Oryzias latipes: one gene and its partners. The protein of the gene in region 3 purifies or fractionates together with the protein of the main gene of each other region. This does not show direct contact. Links are inferred from orthologs where the notes say so. Each region holds a gene or a part of one and is shown on either strand. Other genes may lie near its edges. The genes, in order: pnn, rnps1 and epb41l3.

Region 1 (7,810 bases), on a different chromosome or scaffold from region 3:
TCCTCTGCCCGATTCTCATTGGCAGAGTCCTGGACATCAGCTGTGGATGATGTCTGGGCTTCTTGGGCTGCATGTGCGTTCTCTGTCAGAGGGGGCTGCTCTGGTGGACCCTCTACAGCGAGGCTGGGTTGGGGCTGATCTGCTGCTTCTTGGCGGTTTTCCCTCGGTTTAGAAGCCTGGGTTTCTACAGGTTTCTCTTGTAGGTCTACAAACCCGTGTCTGCCATCTGTTTTGACTTCCTTCATCTCCTCTTCCTTCTCTGCTTCTATTTCCACCTCCATTTCCTCTGACTTTGGGCTTGCTTGCTTCTCCTCTTTCTTCCTCTCCTCCTCAGCTTCTTTTTTCTCACTTCCTTCCTCTCTAAACTCCATCCCTTCCTCCTCTTCTACTTTTTCTAATATTTCCTTGTTTCCCTCCCCATTATCCCCTTCTATCACAATTCTATCTCCTTCCCTCTGACCTTCCTCATCCTCATCTTCCTCCTCCTCCATCTCTGCGACACTCCTTTTACCTGTCAACTTGGCTGCCTGACCTGCTGGCTTACCCTCCGCCGGATGGTCCATCCTTGCGGCAGTGTTGGTGTCCTGGTCGCGGTTTATCTGGCGCCGGGGACGTGACTCCATCTTGTTGAGTTGCTCAGCAAAAGCTTCACGCCTTTCCTCAAACACAGCTGTGGAGAAAACGGTAAAGCCAAACAGGAAAAAGGTCACGTTATTTGCCTTCTTCAAATAAATAATCTCATTCTGTAAATTTAAAAAAAAAAAGCTTCTTTCTTTAAAAAAAAAAGACCAGACTGACCATTTAGTTTCTTGGTGGACTCTTCGAGGAGTTTCTGTGATGCGGAGCACATTTTTCCAGGAAGGTAGAAGATGTGAGGCTTGGTCTTTGTGCGAATGAATTTCAACAGGTTGTTGTTGTGGCTGGTCCACTCCTCTTGCTGGTATTTGGAGAAGATGGGATAGACATTTATAATCATCTGTGTTTTTTATATTTTACTAAAAACTAAGAACAAGCAAGTACCTGCTAGTGGAGTAACAAAAAAAAAAAAGTCTTTATAACCAGTATATAAAAAAATCTGTCACATAAACAACTACTGTACTTGTCAGAGTACAAGTCGCGTTTTTTAGCAGTTTGGCCTCAGTTGCAACTTAGTGTATTCAGACTAGGAAACAGTTTGTTCCAGACCCAGTCCGCATCATGTGGTCCGGATCGAGCACTCAACCTTGCGTTTGCTCTGTATTCAGACTGCCGTCAAGCGGCCTTTCCTGATTCCAACCAAAGCTAGTAAACAAAACCATGTGAATAAAATCTCTTCACTCACTGGTCAGGATTTAGGAAGGCGGAGCAAGTCAACTATACTGCAGTCCTTCATTCAAACTTTATATTTTGCTGAACAATTTTAAATGCCTGTTTCAACAGACAACACTTTATACTGCTGCTTTGATCTGGTGGAGGCATACTGCAATGCAGTAGAAGACGTCTAAGAAGCTACACTGATAAATGTTTGACACAGATTGTAGGGAAAACGATGAGAAGCAATGTGTATTATGTTAAAAAATTAACTTAAACCTGCATTCATCTGATCACATTTTAATGAATTGCAGTGTCTATGGTGTCAATGGCATCGTTTTGAGGAAAAGGATGTCGTCACATTAGCTCATGCCGTGTAACGAGACACAGAAAAGAGTGTAAAACACATTTTTAGCTGTGTTCAAATAAACCTAACAAGGAGTTGGATCCTTTTTTCCCTCTTTGATAATGCGACAATCGTTGCTCCACATTTGTCCGCGGCGCATCTGTTGCTACATTCTAAATGTGTTTACATGACGTGACCACAGGCTACGGTGGCCTTTTGGTCCAGTTGTTCCACTCCAAGGACAGATTGTATTTAGACTGAGGAATCTCACAGCAAACCGAAGCCCAGTCCGATTGGAAACAAACCGAGACCACCTTGAAAGGTGGGTAAGGGTGCGGTTCCTGGTACCAGTCCCGGGGTTCGCTTGGATGTAATCAGACTCAAAACTTGTTCAAGAGAAATTTCACAAGAATTGCTTCGACATTATCAAATAAAAATTATAAATCAATAGATATCAAATAAATAAAAAAAGACTAATGTTTGTGTTGATGCTTTTTATCTTCGTTATGGTTATTGTTGTCTTTAATTTTGCTCTTGTCTCAATGTTCTGATGCATTCATGCCGTTAGCCATAACTTTTATAGACTCTACAATACTGTATAACCAATTGTAAAAACTTTGAAAGATGGAAAAGCATCTCTTGTCTTTAAAACACATTTTACTTCTTATAAATTAGCCTTACCAGCTGAGCTAATTCCACTTTTTGTTCCAGAAGTCTCAGCTCTGTCTGCTTGGCTCTTCTCTCCTCAAACAGCTCTCTCCTTTCATTCTCTACTTTCTTCTTCTCAGCTTCAGCCTGAACTTCCAGTTTCTGCTCAATCTCAGAACGGCGTTTTTGCTGGAAGAAGCGGAACAGAATGAGCCTGGATTTTGTGTGTGTGAGATGCTTTACAAACCTGCAACTCACCTTTTCTGAAGATACGTTGGACTCCTGCTTAAATTTTTGCAGCGTACCCATCAGCAGACCAAACATGCGCCGATTTCTGAAACAAAATATGGGAGGAAATTCCAACTAGTTTAAAACCTTTGTGAAGCAATATCATAATTTTGTATTTTGTGAAATTCATATCCAAGCTTTTCTATCAGTAGCCGTGGTTACATGTGGAAAATGTTTTGATCAAATCACAGATCAGATTTCAACCCTGTACATGGTCCCAGAAAACCTTTTTCCGATTATAACATCGTATACATGGGGCACACTTTCTGTCGGAACAGATCATTTGCACTTCTCTCTAAAATACCGGAAGAGGAAAGGAGTCCCGCTGTTAACAAGCCGAGCTGCCACATACATATATGGATATGCTCGGTAATATAAGAGATGATCTTCTAAACGTGCTTTTATTATTATTATAGTTATTATGAAGCACCTGTTCGCTCATCCTTTCATTTTTAATACGTGTGGTCGGTGCCTTTTTTGTGGCGGAAGAGCTGGAAGAAGGGTTAGGAGAAGGCTAACACGCGCCAACAACATTAGCCTTGGATGAACATAAAATCCAGGGAAATGCTGCAATCTGCATCTTGGCTGCACGTAAATATGTGGGAATAACATCAATCAGCCTTTATTTTGTCGGGACACGACTGGAAAAACAAATCCACGTGATTGTTTGAACAGTTTCTAAGGACTGGGCGACATTTCTACTTTGAAATGGTCGCACGCCGCTCCAAAGCCGCTGTGAGCTGGCGGCCCGAGCTCTGCTCAGAGACACAGTATTACCGGGAGACACAGTTCTGAGTTTAGCAGCTCGTTTACCTACAGCTGCGGGACGGATCGCAGTCCGTAGTGTCCCACACATAAAGCGCACACGTAACAAAGCATCCTCCTTTCCCCTCAAACACAAAGCTATAAGTCCGGCTGCTCTGCTCAGAGACACGGTTCACTTGGTCCACCAGCAGCCAAGCCCGGACGGCGCAGGGTCCAGGGGCACGAAGCGCTCCTCGAGATGGAGGGAAGTCAGAAGCGAGGAGCCCGCGGGCAAGGGCGGAGAGCAGAGGCGTCCGTGCGTGTATCGGGCATCCGCAGAGCAGCCGGTCGGTCGGTCCTGTTTGCGTTTCAAAGCAGTCTTTGGAGGGAAACACCTTTTATGTACTATGTAAAACCAGAGCAATACTGACCAACGATCTGAATGAACCTTTTACATTCACAACGATTGGATCAACAGTCGGCATAACCCACCGATCTCGATCGGAAATAAATTTTGATCCGAACGAGTCTGATCAGGGCAGAGTATTCCGAACACATTTTTCTTCTGATCAGGCGTTCTATCCGATTACTTTTGTCCATGTAAACGCAGCTACTGTCTGAAACAGATTCATGTCAGCCTACCTCTGTTTGCCCTTCTCATCCATGGTTTGATCTTGAATAAGATCTCGGCGTGTTCTCTCTTTGGAGGTAGCTACAACAGAGGACTGCAACGCTGGCTGAAGAAAACAAGCAAATCCTGTTTTAGTCATGTTTTAGTATTCGTTACCCAAAAGTCCAAGAGTTCATTTTTGAAAACCGGTTTTGGAATCAAAACTGGTTATGATTTTATTTTCCTCGTGTAATTAACCCCATTACACCTATTGATGCGAATATGCATCAAACCACCTTGGCTCCAATAACATGATAAACAAACACGATAAAAATAAAATATGTTGGATTCTTTACAAAATATAAGCGGGACGTCACCCTTTCCTCAGTCTAAAAACGCTAACCTCTTGTTGCTCAAGGCAAGAAGGTAACCTCACTCATGCTTCAGAGAACCAGGGTTCTCAAAATTTTTTCAATATTCATTCGGTATCTAACTAAAGGATATATTGTCAGACAGGCTTACTTGAAGACTAAGAAGCACCCAGATATTTCACACGCAAAAGCCAAACCTAATATTGCATGAGAGTCTGTGTGGTCACATCCTATTCATAGGATCCGGTGAAAGAATGGGGTAATACACAACTGGCATCAACCTTGCATGTCACCCACCCAAATTCCCCTAAACAGGGCTCAAGAAGAGGCCGTTCCACGTGTGGAATGAGTCAGTATACTAGCCAGGGGTTCCAATCCCGTCACAAACAAAGATAATAGCCTCCATATCCAACATGACATAGTTGCTTCGTGGGAGGATTTCCCTTGTGCAGAGGATTTTTTTCACGGCCCACTAGTTGGCGCTCACAGACCAAGATTGGGCCCCATGGTCAAGAATCACTGCTCTAGCTGGTCACCTCAGCTGACACCCGTGTGAAGTGTAGTGAGCCGTGTGCAGTATTCACAAGGGGGACCAGAGAAGTGAATGCATCCTGGGCATGTAGCAGCAAACACAAAACAAAAGCAGAGTGGGTGCCTGCTCCAGAAATCTTGTTCCCACACGCTCACGCTCTCGACAGCAGCCTGACTGTGTCCATGGTGAGGGCAGGGTTTGGGCTCTGCTTGCCCTTTTTGGACCGATTGATTAACTCGCCCTCAAGAGCTCTCAGAGAGTATGGTTCTGGGAGTGAGAAGAGACCCACTCTTATTTATCCATCCTTCTAGAGTGGACGCCACTTTCCGTCTGCCAGCCAGGACTGGCGTAATGTGATAAAGCTTCTGAAGACAGCGAACAGAGGGGTGTGGCCCATAGTGAGATACTGAATGAACCCAGATCATTTTACCTTTTTGACATCATCGTCATCGTCGCTGTCGTGGCGCATGTCTCTCCTGGCCCTCTGGTCTCCTGCCAGCCTAAACTCGCACAGCCATGACAACAAAGAGGTAATCAGTGCAAACAGCTTTATTAGATTCTATAAAAAAGAAAGAAAAAGAAAAAAACAAAAGAAAACCCTGAAATACAGCGATTTCCCGATCCAATCACCTGACTAGAAATCGGCCCGGTCACATGGTTGATTACTCAATTGAAAAATTGGAAAATCGAATGTCTCCTAGAAGTATCAAATATTTAATTTATTTTTATTTTGATCAGCACTTTACATTTCAAGCTCACTATTACAGACAAATACTCTACTAGGAGTCTGCATATTATGAACAGATCGCAACAATTTATTGCGGTGCTAGTTTGAGTAAGAGGTGCACAAAGCTAGAAAGATGTACGGAGTCAGTCGTCTGGGATCAATGACTTCAACATTTTAAACACCTGTGGCCAGTCCAAGTGTTTAGGACACCTGATTCTAATCACTTGGATGGGTGAGCGAATACTCTTGGTAGTATAGTGTTTGAGCTACTCGCGAATACTCATATTTATGCCAAGAACAGCAATTTTTTAAAGAAAATCATTAATGTGAAATTTTAATGGGCATATGAATCACGGCTGTTCAAAAATGTTCAATAGTTCTCAAGTCACTAAAACTTAACTCAAATTTTCTCTGTGTAAGTATAAGTATCTGTTTAAGTATTAAATGATAAAAGTCCAATAAAAGAAAAAATAGGGGGGGGGGGGGGTCAGCAGATATTGGAAATCAATTGACTGTGGGCCAGATAGGGCACAAGAAAACATGACCAGGACGTCCCTACTGAAATAGCTAGAAATCCTTATTTCTAGCAGGAAAAAACAAAACAAAAAAACAAGTCACCTCAGCAAGGCTCCTTCGATGTCCCTTTGCTTGGCAGGGGGGCCGCCAGTTCCCATGTCCGAGAGACTGCGCCTGAAAGAACATATTGGCAATCAAAAAATAACTTCTCCCTAGGGGGGGGGGGACCTTATAACACCCAGATCTATGTAAGCCTTTGTTTTTCTCATCCGAGCTGGCATCTGGCCCAAAACTGTACGGTTTTGTACGACCGGATAGTAATTATCTGCAGAGCTAGCAGTAATCGGCTAAAATGCTTTCCTTTTATACGCACATTCATCGTTACAAAAGGCTGGAGGTTGTTCGTTTTCCTTAGCAAAACGCAGACACACTGCCGAGGCTGGCTCTGGGTTGACGACATTCAATGGGTGGCACCCACACGGAGCAAAAGGCCACGCCTTAGAGATTGAGTCGTCTTACTTCCGGTTTGGAAAAAAAAAGCTCAGAAAAATAACTAATATTTAATTAAAATAAAATGTTCTTTTGTGTCCCAAAGGGAATACATCATGTATATGTACACTAGATAAGGCGTAAGAATAGCGTGGTATAGGCCAGGGGTGTCCAACTCATTTTCACCAAGGGCCACATCAGGATAGTGGCTGTCCTCAAAGGGCCAGAAATAACTTTTACATGTAACTAAATGTAAGAAAAAATAAATGTAACTACTACTTAATGATAAAGAACTCATTTATTATAACTTTTTAAAGTGACAATTACAGTTGCATAGAAAACATATGTTTTCTTGATCTATCATAAATCCTTTTAAATTTGATTCTGTCAGGTTAGGTTATATTTACAGTGTTTAAGTCCTAATGTATAGGTGCCCAATCCGATATTTCAAGGCAGATTCCCCCTAGATATGAATAAATACACCAATTTTTATTTTTTATTTTAAGAAATTAAAAACTTTTATGCTCTCGCGGGCCACATAAAATGACATGGAGGGCCACATTTGGCCCCCGGGTCTTGAGTTTGACAAATGTGGTATAGGCCCTTTATGTAGTCCATTACCATAATTCAAATGAAAGCCTGGTGGGTGTGACATGATTATTAAGTATCAAGTGGCATTTCCTTATCCTATCACTTTCGATCTCATACCTAGAGCATCTGAGTCAAAGACCGGTGAAAGGAAAAGTTCTTTCTTTATTTTTTTTTTATTTGATTTACTGCAAGTGCACCAAGTTAATCTCGTCACCTTACCTGAGCAGGTTGATTCCTCTGCCTCTACCTCCGCTGAGGCCTGCCATTGGGCCGCTGAGCCGACGGAACTGGCCCGGTCTGAAAAAGGATGAACCACGTGAGAAACAAAACAGTCCCAAACAAAAGCATAACGAGCTAAAACAGAAAGGCGGTTTCAACTATTTTTGCAAAAGCATAGTTTAAAAATGTATTAAACTGACTTACTAGGCCTGCTGGCAGTTGGGCCTAACACAGACTTCAACAAACAACGGTGTATGTTTACGCAAATACATCATCGTTAGAATTCAAAGGTAGACAATCTGTTCGTTCATAATGAAACAAGCATTTGGAGTAGCAGGGGTTTGCAGAGTTTAATTAATGTTGCTAGGATGTGACAATTCGCTTAGCCGCCTCCTGCTAACAACACGAGACACGCCGTTTGTCTCGTGAGTTTTAGCAC
Region 2 (8,071 bases), on a different chromosome or scaffold from region 3:
GAAATTTGTGAGGCCTCAAGAACACACAATGCAACATCTAGAGAATAACATGCAAGTGACGGCTTCTGAGTGGGCTGCGTTCTCACCTTTTCCGTGGTCAAATCGTAGGTGTCAGGTAACTGTGAGAGCGAACCCTTCGGATCTGAACTTTGTACGTTTGAGGGTTCTTTTCTCAACAACGATAACACCTTTTGAAGAACAAATTGGAGAAGAAATTGACACATTTGTAGATTTCAAATGACCCAGATATGATAAAAGTGGACATAAACGGATTTGTGCACCTTTGTTTTGTGTGACAGTGCTTTATCCAAAAGTCTTCTTCGAGCTGCCAATATTGAACTTGTTGCAGGTGAAGGTGTGACTCTTCTCCTCATGAGTACATTTGAAGCTGTTGAAGTGGAGAAAGCAGAAGCCTCTACTGTGTTTCCAGCATGAGGAACTCTTTTCTCTTCTTGCTGGGCAAGAGAAGTGACACTTACAATCTGAATGTCGTTTTCTTCTTTATTTTCCCCGTGCTGCTGCTGCTCTAGTCGGCTGCTTCCGCTGCTCTCCACAGAACTCGATGCATTTCCACTTGTTTCGGAATTTGTGGAGGACTGCTTGGGGAAACCTGAAGCAGTTGCAAATCCTGAATGATGAGGAGGCTCGTGCATTCGATTCTGGAGACGGTTATTGCTCCAGCTCTCATGCAAAGCTCCAGATCTAGGTGTAGCCTGAGCAACCAAAGGGCTCCCCCCAGCTTCTGCAGGTCTGACCCTCCCTGGTGGTCTACCCTGAAACTCCCTCAGGTAGAGGTATATGGCTTGTGCTGAAACTTTGATGTTCTCCAGCTCCAGTACAGCTTTGATCTTACGGAAACTAAGTCCAGCCTTCCGAAGCTCCACGACTTTGTATTTTGCTGCATCATCCAGCCGACCCATGGTCTGCAACGGAATGATCTCTAGAGGATTAAAAACACTGTCATAAATGTTCAGTAGTTTTCAACCTTTTCTAAACAGTTTTCTCAAAATTCTGTCCATTTCATATGTACTAACCTTGTAATATCATACATTTACTTTGAAAATTGTAAAACCTGCTTTCCTTTTTGTTTTATTTCGTTAATTTTTATTACTGAGTTTATTCTTGATTAATTTATTCCCTTGTTTTTACAATAATACATTTCACTACTTAACTCTATCTTGAAATATTTGATAAACTAACGTGAGGTGTTTACTCTGTTAACGATAATCATAAAATATCAAAATTGAATCGTTGTTTATTCAGGCTGTTTGTTTTGATTTAGTATCAATAAAGTTTACTTTAAAACCTAAGTGTCTCATTGCTTAAGTTAAGTTACACGTAAAAAACGTGGCCATAACGCATAAATAAGGATTGCATCATTAAATAGACGATATATGGATATAAACAGTTAATATCACAGTTGTTCTTGAAATGATAGGTAACTGCAATGTTTTCACACCTGTTTCTAACGGTTGAGTTATAACATTAGCTTAGATACTAGAGCTAACAACCTCCGCTGTTGTAAAGTGGGACGCTCACCTGAAGAAACGAAGGAAGCAATGTCCGTGCTTCGAATTCGAGCAGCGTAATTCACGCACCACAGTAACTAGGTCCCCTTTGCATAGCTATGCAGCAGCCGAATACGCAAGCTGCTAACGTCCATAACACCTTAAAAAAACAAATGAAGTTGTGAGTGGCACCCGTTTACAAACGTAACTTCCGCTTTCGTCATAATCTAGCGACGAACTGAATCACACTGGTAAGAAATGAGAATTAACTTATAATTATGGTTCAGTTTTACTTCAACAAATATAATTAAGCTGATGTTGCAGGTTTGGATGGTTAAGGACACCAACAAATTGAATGTGCAGGGGGGAAAAGAAATACATCACACAAGAGTCTGCATGAAAGTTCAAACCTTTGCAAAGGGGATTTTGAGTGGCTTTATATTCTGTAACTGTGGTGTCAACAAACAAACAAACAAACAAACAAACAAACAAACAAACAAACAAGTTGTCTGTGACAAAGAAAACATTGTCAAAATGACTATAAAATTCTGCTTTTGACAGACACTTCTTTCCTGGGCACTTGTTTATAAACACCCCTCACTTATAATTTATTTATTTGGACTAAGAAATACATCATTTACTAAAACAAATATATATTTTTTGTCATAATAATTTCAACAATAATATGGGTCAGTTCCTTGACAGAAAAGGACATTTGTTTAGAACTGAGGAGTTTAATCTAACATATAGTAATACATATTTTTATGGACTCGAAGTCTAAATGTCAACACCATAAAATAAAGAAGATGAAAAGAGAAAATCAGTTACACCCCTGTTGGAAAATCTTGTTTCAAATTTACTCAGGAGAATAACAAAGTCATATGTGCCTTGTTTCAACGAGATGTTATTTCAGAACATTTTGTTGTCTTTTAGTGAAATACTTTTGTCTCTGACTTGCTATGGAAAGAACTTTCATTGCATCAGAAATAGTTGATTAATGACAAGATGAGCGATATCTCCTCTCAATTTCTGCACAGAATAATACTAGTCAAGATATTTAACATTGTAAAATATATTAAAGTTTGTTAACATTCTGTGAAAGAAAACCCAAAAACTCAGTCACCTACTTTGGAATTGTAATATTTATTAAAAATCTTTTGATTAGACTGTACATATTTAAAAAATTGCAACAATAACTCAAAATGCGATGCTCCAGTGCTGTGACTATATGTAAGGTCTGCATGGATTTGTATTATAACTTTTTCATTCATCCACACTTGTGTCGTGTATGTTTACAAAAAAAGTTGGCAAGAAAAAAAAAACAACAACGATATATATATATATATATATATATATATATATATATATATCGTTTTAAGATCTGAATTTACTAAATATTAAATTTTTCCAAAATACAAAGAAATCCATTTTAAAATAATGTATGCAGTCTATCCATACAAGGAACTACTATACATATACGTTTTGGTTTTCCAGAAAATAACTGTTCTTTCTGTGACATAAATATAGAAACACTTGATCATCTGTTTTTTTGAATGTATATATGTTAACAGTTTTTGGGAGAATTTCTTTTCTTGTTGCTCCTCAAAGTTTCCCTTTCCTATTTATATTCAATTACAAAAGCAGATCATATTATTTGGAGTAGTTTCTGTTGATAATATATTTGATTTGACATTCAATACTTTATTAATATCTGGGAAATTTTTCATTGATGAGAGCAGATTTTCAAAAACAAAACCATTATTCAATACATTTCATATTGAGATCAGTTTATATTAAAAATCTCTGATATTAATAAAAAGCAAAAATGCAATAAAATGTCTATTTTCATTGAAGATCACGCGTTGTATGAAAATCCCTTGTATTGTAAACTACAATTATATTATTTTTATTTATTTATTTATTTCTATTTTCTTCTTTTTTCTTTTTTTCTGTTGTAGCTTTTGTGTGTGCGTTTGTTTAAAGTTAAAATAAAAAATTACGTAACATCCGCTTTCATCATCACTTCGCGACCTCACACCAGACCGCAAGTGAAGCCATTTTTGGCCGTTGGAATGTAAGATTAACCTTTTTACGTATTTTCGATCTAAATAGCTTTAATAGCGGAACTTGTTGATTTAAACATGTAAGTTCGGAGGCTTTTTTATTTTGCGCGAAAGTTCCTTATAAAGGAAGAAGTCGTTTAACCGCGACGCGGGTGTAGTTTAGTCCCTTGTTGTGCTCAAAAAAAACAACGAGGGAACGAGTCCAAATAGAAGGTTTTTTTTTTTCTGAATGAAAATATTAGTGTAAGGGAAAATATTATGTAATTTACGGTCCTAAACATTTGGAATTAAGCTTAAAATAATTACAATTTATTGTGCACATGTTAAATGTCGGTAAAAAAAAAAAAAACACCGAAACAATTTTGAATTAATTAGATAAAAATGAAATGAAAAAGTTATATATATTCAAGTAATTAACGAGTTAAATTTAATTAATGACCTTTTTGGTGCAAAAAATTTGTATCTAGCACATTTTAAGGCTGTTTCTCTCTATCCAATAAAAACATAAATCACAATCCTTTACATAAACCTAGACATAATCACTTTTTTAGGTTTCTAGGTCTCTAATTTATGTGCTTTCTCGCCACATCAGGGCACCATTACCGATAAAGCGAAAGGAAGATGAAAAGAAAAACAGGGAAAAAGAAAAAATAAAGGAAGGAGACAAGGAAAGGGGTCGCGACAAAGCAAAGAAACGCCGCAGTGCTTCATCAGGCAGCAGCAGCAGGTGAGCTATTTTTTCTTTCTTATATTTAAAAATATAATATAGCATCCTGTCCTGGATGTTCATTCCCAACTAAATCATTGTTTGTTTTTGACCTTCCACATCTAGATCTAGCTCATCCTCCAGCAGCAGCTCTGGTTCTAGCTCTGGTTCTTCAAGTGGTTCCAGCTCCTCTTCCAGTCGCTCCGGATCCTCTAGCTCTCGGTCTTCCTCCTCCTCCAGCTCTTCGGCCTCTCCAAGTCCCAGCCGCAGACGCCATGACAACCGACGCCGTTCACGATCTCCGTCAGTCCATTTTCTCAGACATGAGACAAATATTTATATTGTATCTCAAAAATATTGACAATATTTATTCTGTAATTTTTTATCCTGCAGTTCTAAAACACAGAAGAGAGGAGAAGAAAGAGAACGAAGAAAAAGAAGTCCCACCCCTAAACCCACAAAGGTTCACTTGGGAAGGCTGACCAGGAATGTAACCAAGGCAAGCTAAAAAAACAAACAAAAGCTAAATCTTTGATTTTTAAAAAAAAAATTCTAATTCAATAAAAGCAGATCTTATTTTTCATGATAACTAGTTAGAATGAAATATTCTTTATGTTTATTGTCTGTCAAGATGTGCGCCTAAAACTGCAAGAATTAAATAAAAAGCTAAATATTTTGTTTTTAGTTTTTTTTAATGGAACAATCCTTCACAAAATAATGGTTAAAAACTAAATGTATGTTTCAATTTACTAGGAACACATCCAGGAGATTTTCTCTACATATGGAAAAATTAAAGCGGTTGACATGCCGGTGGAAAGGCTCTTCCCAAACCTGACCAAAGGCTTTGCTTACGTGGAGTTTGAGACCCCTGAAGAAGCCCAGAAAGCTCTTAAACACATGGATGGAGGTAGGAAAGAATCATTTAAGGGGCTGGAGAAATCATATTGACGAACATAAACTTGGTCAGGTAAAAACAAACCTTCCTGATGACTTTTTTAGGTCAGATTGACGGGCAGGAAATCACTGCAGCTGCTGTGCTGACTCAGCTGATCCGTGGTCCTCCACGTAGACTGTCTCCTCCTCGAAGAATGCCGCCACCTCCACCGATGTGGCGCCGCAGCCCACCACGCATGAGAAGAAGGTTATTTAAAAGCTTTCACTTGTACCTTTTTAATATTTTTAACGTTTTATTATGCGGTCCATTGAAACGGAATCTTCTCCCACCTACTGATGCTCGTCCTTTTTTTGTGCCTGTTTAGATCACGCTCCCCAAGGAGGCGCTCGCCACCACGTCGCCGCTCTCGCTCTAGGTCTCCTGGCCGCAGGCGCCATCGCTCTCGTTCAAGCTCAAATTCCTCCAGATAGAAAGTTGTCTTTACTCTAAATACTCGCCGCAGATCAGCTGCAGTTTTCGCATTTCCTGGCTCCTCGGACACAAAGGATCTATATAAATTGCAGTAAATTTAGCTGAGTTCGTAGTGACAAGGAGACGAGAAAAATTCTTTCTTTTTTTTTAAATTTTGTGCTGAAAATTGACTGTAGTTTTTATGTTATGTCTGATGACATCTAACAAGATTTTGTGATTCCTTCATTCGAGTTGATTTTTTTTTTTGAAGAATTTTGAGAATAAAACCTATGAAACATCTTGATTCTGATTTCTGTCATCTTGTGATCCGGCTCAACTATTATTCTGATTTCTAGTCACAAAAATACTTTTAACCCTTATGTGGTGTTCGGGTCTGTGGGACCCGTTTTCATTTTTTATCAAAAGAAAAATGATACAATTAATTAATTTTTCAAACTCAGACTCACTGGCCTTGGCTCATTTTCTGTGAAGAACAGATATCAGAATACATTTTTAATGACCACACACCGTATACCCCCCCCAACACATTTCTATTACATATAAGATGTTCGGGTCCACTGGACCCAGGGCTAATAGAAGTGTGGAAATTGATGTTTTTATGTACCTACACTCTGTCCTCCACCTGTCTGGGCCTGCTGTGTGTGTGTGTGTGTGGGTGTGTGTGTGTGTGTGTGACCAGTGAGAAAGAGAGAGAGAGAGTGGCAGAGAGAGAAAGATTCACTGTAAATGTGAGTTCTGTTTCTGCACCTGCGGTTCCCGCACAAGGTTGCAACATTGTTAGAATAATTCAAGCATCAACTCTGTTTGCTCTCGTTCTCCCGCACATTTGATCATTTGACTTTCTTGCGGGAATCTTTAATATCTCACATAGCAGATAAAGATCTGCTACAAATTGGAGGCGGGACACTATAAATATAGCTTTGCCAGTGTGGTTTCTCATCACAACTGATCAAAATGGCCAAAAGACTTTCTGCGCAGAGGGCCCTGGAATTGATTTTAGAAGAGAGAGACGTTTTCGATGATGATGTAGAGGGAGACGATTCAGAAGAGGAGGTTTCAGAATTGGAGGATCACATTTCTGAAAATTCAGAGTCTGACAGTGACTCTGGAGAAGATGATTAGATTGGGGCGGCCGTGGTGCAGCGGTAGGGTGGCCAACCCCTGATCGTAAGATTGCAGGTTCAATTCCCGCCTTGCAGGCCCATGAGTCAAAGTGTCCTTGGGCAAGACACTGAACCCCACCTTGCCTCTGGTGGTTGGCGGGCGCCTGTGTTTGGCGGAGCCGCCACCAGTGTCTGAATGTGTGAGTGAATGTGTGTGTGACTGGGTGAATGGGTCCGTGACTGTAAAGCGCTTTGTCCTTGTAGGAAGAAAGGCGCTATATAAGTATAAGCCATACCATTTAGATTGAGCATCAGCCAGTTCCAAAACAAAGCCATCAGCCAGGACCAGGCTGTCAGCAGCCAGGACCATGTGTTGTAAAGGCTAGTGGCTAGAAGCCCTTACATGGGGCTGATGTGTTGTCTTGACAATAGGTTTACTCTGTGTTCAGCTTGTGTTGTGCACCTGAATGGTTTCAGTTTCTTTGTTCAAATAAATAAAAGTTAGTAGTTTTGAAAACCATTGCTTCACTTGAAAATTTGTTTCCAATCATATCTTGATTTTAATTGATTTTCTTTATCACGTTTTAAATAATGAGTTATGAATGTGATCTAACAAAGGTAAAGGGCAAATATTAACCAAATAAACTGATTGTAATTGGATGAGGTAAACATCTGTCGAGTATTTTAACATCAAAGTGTTTGATTGTGAGGCATTAAAAACCACAACATGCAACGGGTCCACCAGACCCACGAACACTGGCTGAGTAACAACAATATGAACACCACACAAGGGTCAAGTATTCCAAAATATTAACTAAACTTATAAAACAAAGATAAAAATGTGTTGGGAAGTTGTGCCCTTTATTTACCATAACAACCACTAGGTGTCTCATTCCATGTAGGGGCAGAGGATTGCATGTGTATTTCTTTGGAGCATCAACAGCAGAGCATGCATCAGTGGTTAGCCTCCCCACAGTTACAATGACAGTGCTGTGGTAGCTGTTTCAACGCGCGCTCTGTGATCTCCGTCTTCTTGTTCATAAGAACCTTTGGAGTCTAATCGAAATCTAAATCATGGCTTTGGGACCAGAAAGTCTCAGACGGCGAATCAAGCAGCTGTTGGAAAAACCGGGGAATGGAAACTGTGCAGACTGCAAAGCAGCAGGTAGGTGCAGGTCCTGCTTTTATTTACATCCTCTTCATGTTAGTTTGACAGTACGCCTGGTAAGTTTTGTTTCACTTTAGGAGAAAACAATAGAAGTTAATTTATGAATGTTTTCTGACAAAAAGTAGGAAATGTTTGTTAGAAATGGCATAAAGTTAAA
Region 3 (8,051 bases):
TTGATGAAGATTTTTTTCAATTTGGAGAGCGCCTGGTTTTCTCCACAGCCATGAGGGTTCAGGGTCGGAAACATGAACACTTCACAACCTCCCTCCTCCCTGAGACGTGCCGCGGTCGCTCCGCTTCACCGCGCCTCACGCTGCATTGATCAGATGGAGGGGAGTGGCCAGATGGAAAAAAACATTCCACAAACATCTAGCTGGGTTTGCTCTCCACTTCTGCTGCTTTGCTGGAGCCGGACGGCGCCGCTGAGAGACTGATTGCATGAGTGAAAGTGGCTGCAAACATGGACAGGTCTTGCATGCAGCTGATGGTCTGAGGTGCACACCATGGTGGTGGTGGTGGTGGGGTGACTCTAACCCTTATATTAAGGTAACAGCGAGATGTGTTAGGCGCTGACATCACTCTGCAGATAATGAGATTATACCGGAACGACTTTATTTTAGGGGAGTTAAAAGAAAGGGTGGCGATTTTGTGACTAATCCTTCCTAAGGTGGAGCAGCCAATGAAATGGTGAGACTTGCAGCTCAACCTCTGTAAGGCGGCGATGCAGATGATGAGGTTTGCTACAGGATGGGAGCATGACTGGGCAGAGAGTGGGACACTGGGACACACACACTGTCTGCAGGTCAGCTCTGAACAGGTGAAACAGGACAGTTATGGAGTTAGGTGGAGTAAACAGACCGCCGTGGGCGGGCATTGGTGTAGACAGGCGTACGCACACACCTCCTCTTCCTCTGAACTGTCATGGTCATGGTAGCCCTGGGCTATGGAGGCGGTCAGGGAGGCTGCCTTGGGCTCCAGGTAGCAGAGGCACAGAGCCAGGGGAAAGGAGAGGGTGAGAGCGTAGGGTACAGAGAAGGAGGTGGAGAGGAGGAAGAAGAAGATGAAGAGGAAGCAGGGAATGAGCGATGGGGACTTAATGGGCAGGAAGTTTTGCGCGCAGTGGGGGAGGAAGCTCATCTCAGAAAGGTCTGGAAAGGTGATGTAACCATCGTCATCCAGGATGGATGACAGGTGAGGCAGGTGTAGGGAGAAGGAGAAGAGCGTGCCACTGCGGCTTTTGCCCTGCTCCAGCCTTTGCTTTCGCGCCGAAAGCAAGAGCTCCTGCTCCTCCAGCAGAGCGGCTTTGCGGTCGGCGCGAGCCTGCCGGCGGCGGCACCCGATGCCGCCTTTGGCTGGACTGACTGATGAAGCCCTCTTATGGGCGCTCTCCCGGCGCCTCCGCCGCACTTTGGTGGACAGAACAGGAGATGACGGCAACGAGAGCTCAGAGCGGAGCGGGTCGGCTGTGTACGCATGAAGGGGGCGCTGATGGAAGGAAAGGTCAACCGAAGCGCGACGTGTGCGTCGGTGAGGAGAAGCAAAATGGGGAGGAGATGAATGCACACCAGCACGCACGTGTGTGTGTGTGTTGTGGGGTCAAAGGAAGGACAAGGGAAAAAAAGCAATTAGTAAAGCGTACACAAGATGAGAAGCAGTCAGACCTAACCTACAGCAGCGGCATGTAAAGGATTTTTTAAAGAAAAGAAAATTAAGAAGGTTTCCAAAAGCAAAACTGCCCCTTTATCCCACTGTTTATTTGACAGCCCCCCCTCCCAAAGTGAGAACAGCGCTGTGGGCGCCTGAATGCTGCAGAGGTGAGACGGCCGCTTACCTTTGGTTCCTGTGATGTGGCACCTGCCTCATGCGTGTCAGTGGAGTTCTTCTGAGCATCCTCCTGCTCCGTCTTCTCTTCCCTCTCTGTGGTTACCGTGGTGATAATGGCGGCGGCTTTGGTATCTCCGCCGGCAGTGCTGTCCTTCATCAGAGTGTCGTGGTTCTCTGCAATGGTAGCTGGAGCCCAGAAGGATGCAGGTATGTTAGAAATGTGAAGAGCGGTTCACGTGTGCACATGCTTCTTATGATAAGGGGGGGAGGGGGGTTAAAAGGTGCTTGGGCCGCCTCACCTCCATCTAAGCTGCGGGACATGTTGTAGCGCTTGCTGGAGGTGCGTTCAAAGAACGGCGCCGGTCGTATGATCTGGGAGCTGGCCCTGCGGGTCTGAGCCTGCGTCCTGCCGCTGTAACGGAACTTGGAGCCCAGGCTCAGGAACTTTTTCTGAGGGGCCTCTGGAGACACGAGCCTGTAACCGGTTTCAAATGTGCCCATTAATCAAACTGGAAATAACAGCAGAATTAAAACAAGCAGTGAAAAACATTGAAACTCTTCGTTAGAACCATCTCCAGGGAGCCTTCGGTGTAAACTTTCCACGTTCTGCTTAAAGCAGCAAGTCTGCATGAAGTTCTAATTAAGAGCCTAAACTCTGCCTTTCCTTCCCTACAGAGAAATCACACACAGCGACTGAATAAACTGCATGGTTGCACTTCTGTCATCACCCAAAGCCAGAAAACAGCAGAGAGCCGCGTGCACTCCCACCATCCGTCTTTCATTAACAAGGCATCCCATCCTTTCCTGTCGACCGACTTTAACCTGATGTTTTTCAATAAAGCTGCACCTGCTGCAGTTCCAAAGGGTCACACTCCTACCTGAAGAAGGTGTGGTGCTCCACACACACCTTCCATAGCCGTTTGGCAGCACGGTGGTTTGGGAGCTTGAAGCCAATTGTGCTTTCAAACTGCTCGAACTGCAAGATAGGAAAATAATGAGATCAGTTCCTGTCAAATGATATGCAGAACAGCCTGAAAACCCCATGATGTTTGTCAGATAAAGAACATTTATCAACTGCTTTTCACAAAACTAATCCAGACTTTACTCATTTTTTTAACAATTACAAGGAAAAAAGTCTGAACTAAATAAACATCATTAGACTAGTTTAAACCATTAGACTAGTTTAAATCATTAGACTAATTTAAACCATTAGACTAGTTTAAACCATTAGACTAGTTTAAACCATTAGACTAGTTTAAACCATTAGTCTAGTTTAAATCATCAGACTGGTGTAAACCATCAGACTAGTTTAAATCATTAGACTAGTTTAAACCATTAGACTAGTTTAAACCATTAGACTAGTTTAAATCATTAGACTAGTTTAAACCATGAGACTAGTTTAAACCATTAGATTAGTTTAAACCATTATACTAGTTTAAACCATTAGACTAGTTTAAACCATTAGATTAGTTTAAACCATTATACTAGTTTAAATCATGAGACTAGTTTAAACCATTAGACTAGTTTAAACCACTAGACTAGTTTAAACCATTAGACTAGTTTAAACCATTAGATTGGTTTGAATCATTAGACTAGTTTAAACCATGAGACTAGTTTAAACCATTACACTAGTTTGAACCATTAGACTAGTTTAAACCATTAGACTAGTTTAAACCATTAGACTAGTTTAAATCATTAGACTAGTTTAAACCATTACACTAGTTTAAATCATTAGACTAATTTAAATCATGAGACTAGTTTAAATCATTACACTAGTTTAAACCATTAGACTAGTTTAAACCATTAGATTAGTTTAAATCATTAGACTAGTTTAAACCATTAGACTAGTTTAAATCATTAGACTAGTTTAAATCATTAGACTAGTTTAAACCATTAGAATAGTTTAAATCATTAGACTAGTTTAAATCATGAGACTAGTTTAAACCATGAGACTAGTTTAAACCATTAGATTAGTTTAAACCATTAGACTAGTTTAAACCATTAGACTAGTTTAAACCATTAAACAAGTTTAAATCATTACACCAGTCTAAACCATTAAACTGATTTCAATTATAAGACTAGTTTAAACTATTAAACTAATTAAAATTATAAGACTAGTTTAAACCATTAAACTAATTTAAATTATTACACTAGTCTAAACCATTAAACTAATTTAAATTATTACACTAGTCTAAACCATTAAACTGATTTAAACTATTAGACTAGTTTAAACCGTTAAACTAATTTAAATCATTAGACTAGTTTAAATTATTAGACAAGTTTAAAGATACTCATTCAAACTCCTCCCATAGTTTATCTTTACCTCTCCAGGTCGTATTTTGATATAAAAGTTATTTCTCTTGTAGGAGATCTTCAGGATCTTAGGCCAGGCAAATCTGTTGATCCTCAGCTTGTCTCTGTAGATGAGGAGGCCGCTGGCACAAACTCCCAGCATGATCTCCACTCCCTCAGAGTCCTGCAAACACCACACCAGGAGAGGAGAGAAGGAAACGTCCATAACTAGACCATCTCACACAGCGTTGCTCAAAACCTTCATGTAAACATGTTTCTGTCCACACACCCTCAAATTTTTCAACTCTACAGGGAGAACGGGAAGTCCTCAAGCATTGGAGCCCAGCAGGATAAAGAGGGAATTTAAGAAAAGGTTGGTGATAATAACAGGTTTGGGCAGGCAGGCAGTGCAATCAGGCAGGTGGTCTTCTAATCACCTCTATGCACTCTGTGGTGACGCTGAACATGAATTCAAGGTGCACCTTTTAGCAAAAGCAAGTCTGACAAAACGAGGGATGTAGAAGGAAACCTTCTGGCACAACTAAGAATGATATGAGCAGTGAAACCAATGAGGAAGCGCTCATCCCAAGAACCAAGACCCGGAGTCAGGTCGAGGAACGGGATGCTGGAAAGGATACCTTTGTAACCATGCAGAAGTGGAAAAACACTCTGAACACTCACTCAGGCAGTGGAAGCACACGGAAAACAGCCTCTTACCTCCTCCTCATCCAGAGCCAAGCATTCAGAGAGACTCCCTACCAACTTTGCATTTAATGAGAGAGGAGAGAAGACAAAAGAAGGAGGCTCTTCTGATGTGCATTTAGGCTTCTTAGATATAAAAAATGATGACTCAGAGGAGCTACACCGAGCGCTGATGGTGACGCCAGTTCTGACTGATCAAAGCCTCTTCCTCATCTCTGTCATCTCACCAATCCTGATCTACATCTGAGGACTAACTCCTCCCTGCATCCACGTATTTACACCCGTTTTGCCTTTCAAAGCACTCGTTGGCATCACAGAGACCGACCATTATGACTTCGCTCCGGGATGACAGCGCTCCGTCTGTCCTTCCTGTCCGGGTTTTAGGACGATGCATTTGAAGCCGGTGGAACACAAAGAGCTCTGAAAAGCATGCTGGGCTCCAGAGCTGCACCACCCCAACCAGAGGTGGAGGTGACGGTGTGAGTCAGCGCAGCAGCATCACAACGGCAGCCATGATGTTTGTGGGACGGCGGTGACGAGCGTGGCGTCTGAATGCACCGGTGAAATGTGTTCATGTCATAAGTCACTCATGTAACATGCAGAGTAAATAAGGCATCATGGGAACCTCCACCATTAGGCTCATTTGTAAATCTTTTCACTGCTGCATTCAAGGGCGGAGTGGGGAATCGGCAGAGTCAGGAGGATTCCCGGTGGGCCGCTTCATTTATGGGCCAGTCGGTGTTAAGGGAAAATAGTCACAGTAGAATATGAATGAATCTCTGCAAAATTGACCCGTCCCTTTAGGGAATGGCATCGCCAATTTGGCAGTTAACAGCATGCACAAACATCCTTTTGCATTGCTCACAGTTGGTTGAATCCACCAGAGCGCGTCTTACCAAAAAAAAAGTCGAGTTGGAGCAGAGAAGCGGGCCTGCCGGCAGATTAACGCGCGTAAAAACGGGTAGGAAGCAAGGTTATAATAGTTTCGGATTTTTTATTAGTTTTAGTTTTTATTTCGTTTCGAATTTTTCTTTTTAAATTTATTTAGTTTTAATTAGTTTTTAGAGGCAGCTTTACTAGTTTTTATTAGTTTTTATTTTTTGAAATTGCTTCGTTTTAGTTTAGTTTTTATTAGTTTTAGTGTTAGTTTTAGTTTTTTCTTTTTTTTTTTTTGTAAATTAGGATATTTATCAGGTGCATGATTCAAAATCACCAGAATAAGTATTGTATAATAAAAACTCAATCAAAGATACATTTTGAAACACTTATTATTCAGAGGACACAAGGACAACCATCCTTAAATTAAAATAAAACAGCCGATAACAGCATTACGTTACCTGCTCTAGCTTCTTTTTCGGGGGAGGGCGGGCGACAGGCTAGCTTGTCTAGGTACTGTTGATTTGCGTTTTTGTGTGCGCTTTTTAAATGTACTTTTAGATTCGTAGGGTTTTTCCCTTTGAGGAGCGTTCCACAAATTTTGTCTCCTGCTTCGACTACAAGGCACTTACTTTAGTTTTCGACGCTGTTATATTCAAAAAAGTCCCAAATAGGACTCTCCCCCTTTCTCCCAACTTTTAATGCAGCCATCACGCTCATGTAAATGTCTATGACAACGCTAGCCGGCAGTGTCTGACAGACATCATGTGACCTCACAGACAACGTGACAACGTGATGCCGTAGGGGTCAAATACACAGTAAAACTAGCAGCGTGAAGTAAATAGATTTTATTTCAACCCAAAAGACTTATGTATTAACAAAGACGAAAACTAAGTCTTTTTTGGGGTTATTATTATTTAGTTTCAGTTCGTTTTATTCACACAACAAACAGTTTTAGTTAGTTTTCGTTTTATTAAAAACTCTCGTTTTTATTTTTATTTCAGTTAACGAAAATGTTTTTTCAGTTCTAGTTTTAGTTTTTTCGTTCGTTTTCGTTAACTATAATAACCTTGGTAGGAAGAGACTAGGCGGGGCGGAAAAGGCCAGATTAAAGAAAAGAAAGGCGTTGACTGAGGATGCTGCCAGATGTGCAAGCCCACAGGCATGTTTTCAAGAAGAGGGAAACGGTAAAGGAGATGTAACTCTAAGCCTAATTGATCATTTAACACAAAGCTAGCCTAATATTCTGATTTAAACTGGCATTGACTCTCAGACACAAGTGTGTGCACGCTGAGGTTCCGGCCCAGCCTCAGCTAGACCCCGCCTTCAGTGCCCCCAATGTAAATTGAGTTTGAGACCCCGGGTTTATATAATCACACAGTGAAATATTTCTGTTCAACCACACCTTTTTTATTATAATGATTTATTGTTATTTTTCATTACTGTAATACAATATTTATATTATGTGCTAAATTCTTGCCTAATTTTTCACGTAGCTAAACAAAGGTCGGTCTTGGCTGTAAAGTTGTTCCACGCACTCATGATGCACCACAAATGATTCTCTGCACAGCGGTGATTGCTTAGAAACAACAGAAACTTTGGTTGTTCCTTGACTCACTGCCACTTTTCTAAACCACATCAAAAGAAAAAAAAACACGTCTTCTTTCAGGAGGAGAGCCCGACGAGAAGCCAAAAGAAAACTGTCCTTTACCAGACAACCCATAGCTGTCACTTTTAGTACGTACAGTTTTTAAATCGTGGCTTTTCACTTAGAGCTGAATTATTTTTTTATTTAATGTAAGACATGAACTTCAGGAATATTTACACTCTTTCCAGGAAGTGTCCCCTCCTACTAGAGAAATGATGCTGCAACACAAACTCCAACAGTTCAGGAAACAAGCAAACTAAAGCCACTAAATGATGAGGTTTGGATGAAAAAAAACACTGTTAGCTGTTCTGCCAACACCGATCCATGAGAACGGAGACATGATCCTCAAGCGATACCAATCACACGTCACATTTCAGCAACAGCTGCACAGCGAGGACGGAGCGGAAACTCATGGAAAACATCTCAGCCAATGCAATAAAGCAGATCAACTAATGCTAAACATGAACAACATTAAGCTGTCCCTCCTCATAGTGGTCCAACAAGAGCATCCCAACATTCTTCAGATGTAGAGAAATTCATGAGAAAACGTCCCATTCTGTGTCTAATGAAATGTCAAACTGAGTAAAGGCCAGAGGATTTTCACAACCTGCAGAAGTATTCTAAATAGATTTCATTTATTTGATTTTTACCACCTTTGATGGAACTGGAAACCCCATTTCTGCTGCAGGAAATGTTGCAGAAAAAAACCAAAACATTTCTGAACAGGTGGGAAAACTGTAGCTTGCATTATTACATTTTGAAGTGATATTAGTTTTCTTTAGGCAGGAAAAGTGACTTGCAGTAATAACTTGCGTTGACTGAAGAGATTTGCTCACCTTAGCGTGATGGAGGTCCACACCATACATGGACAGCTTCTTTGCA

Evidence for each region.
Region 1: the proteins of epb41l3 (region 3) and pnn purify together in Homo sapiens (co-immunoprecipitation; 3 studies listed by BioGRID and IntAct, with this or other methods). This does not show direct contact. The link is inferred for Oryzias latipes from reciprocal best matches to the Homo sapiens genes EPB41L3 and PNN.
Region 2: the proteins of epb41l3 (region 3) and rnps1 purify together in Homo sapiens (co-immunoprecipitation; 3 studies listed by BioGRID and IntAct, with this or other methods). This does not show direct contact. The link is inferred for Oryzias latipes from reciprocal best matches to the Homo sapiens genes EPB41L3 and RNPS1.

The regions. Positions count from the first base shown.
Region 1 is NC_019880.2:19,631,604-19,639,413, reverse strand, and holds part of pnn (pinin), read right to left. Parts: intron 7,450-7,810; coding exon 7,372-7,449; intron 6,247-7,371; coding exon 6,175-6,246; intron 5,330-6,174; coding exon 5,260-5,329; intron 4,054-5,259; coding exon 3,959-4,053; intron 2,619-3,958; coding exon 2,543-2,618; intron 2,474-2,542; coding exon 2,318-2,473; intron 938-2,317; coding exon 799-937; intron 671-798; coding exon 1-670. UniProt on the Homo sapiens protein: Transcriptional activator binding to the E-box 1 core sequence of the E-cadherin promoter gene; the core-binding sequence is 5'CAGGTG-3'. Capable of reversing CTBP1-mediated transcription repression.
Region 2 is NC_019866.2:11,022,726-11,030,796, reverse strand, and holds rnps1 (RNA-binding protein with serine-rich domain 1), read left to right. Parts: upstream 1-3,488; 5' UTR 3,489-3,580; coding exon 3,581-3,582; exon of another isoform or gene 3,583-3,649; coding exon of another isoform or gene 3,650-3,651; intron 3,652-4,163; coding exon 4,164-4,298; intron 4,299-4,403; coding exon 4,404-4,580; intron 4,581-4,670; coding exon 4,671-4,776; intron 4,777-5,030; coding exon 5,031-5,184; intron 5,185-5,276; coding exon 5,277-5,418; intron 5,419-5,536; coding exon 5,537-5,642; 3' UTR 5,643-5,926; downstream 5,927-8,071. Other genes in the region: uncharacterized protein LOC101174749, read right to left, coding at 87-188, 282-920; arf-GAP with dual PH domain-containing protein 1, read left to right, coding at 7,821-7,911. UniProt on the Homo sapiens protein: Part of pre- and post-splicing multiprotein mRNP complexes. Auxiliary component of the splicing-dependent multiprotein exon junction complex (EJC) deposited at splice junction on mRNAs.
Region 3 is NC_019875.2:4,931,404-4,939,454, forward strand, and holds part of epb41l3 (band 4.1-like protein 3), read right to left. Parts: coding exon 8,006-8,051; intron 4,706-8,005; coding exon 4,661-4,705; intron 4,128-4,660; coding exon 3,975-4,127; intron 2,628-3,974; coding exon 2,530-2,627; intron 2,127-2,529; coding exon 1,951-2,126; intron 1,838-1,950; coding exon 1,659-1,837; intron 1,313-1,658; coding exon 728-1,312; intron 1-727. UniProt on the Homo sapiens protein: Tumor suppressor that inhibits cell proliferation and promotes apoptosis. Modulates the activity of protein arginine N-methyltransferases, including PRMT3 and PRMT5.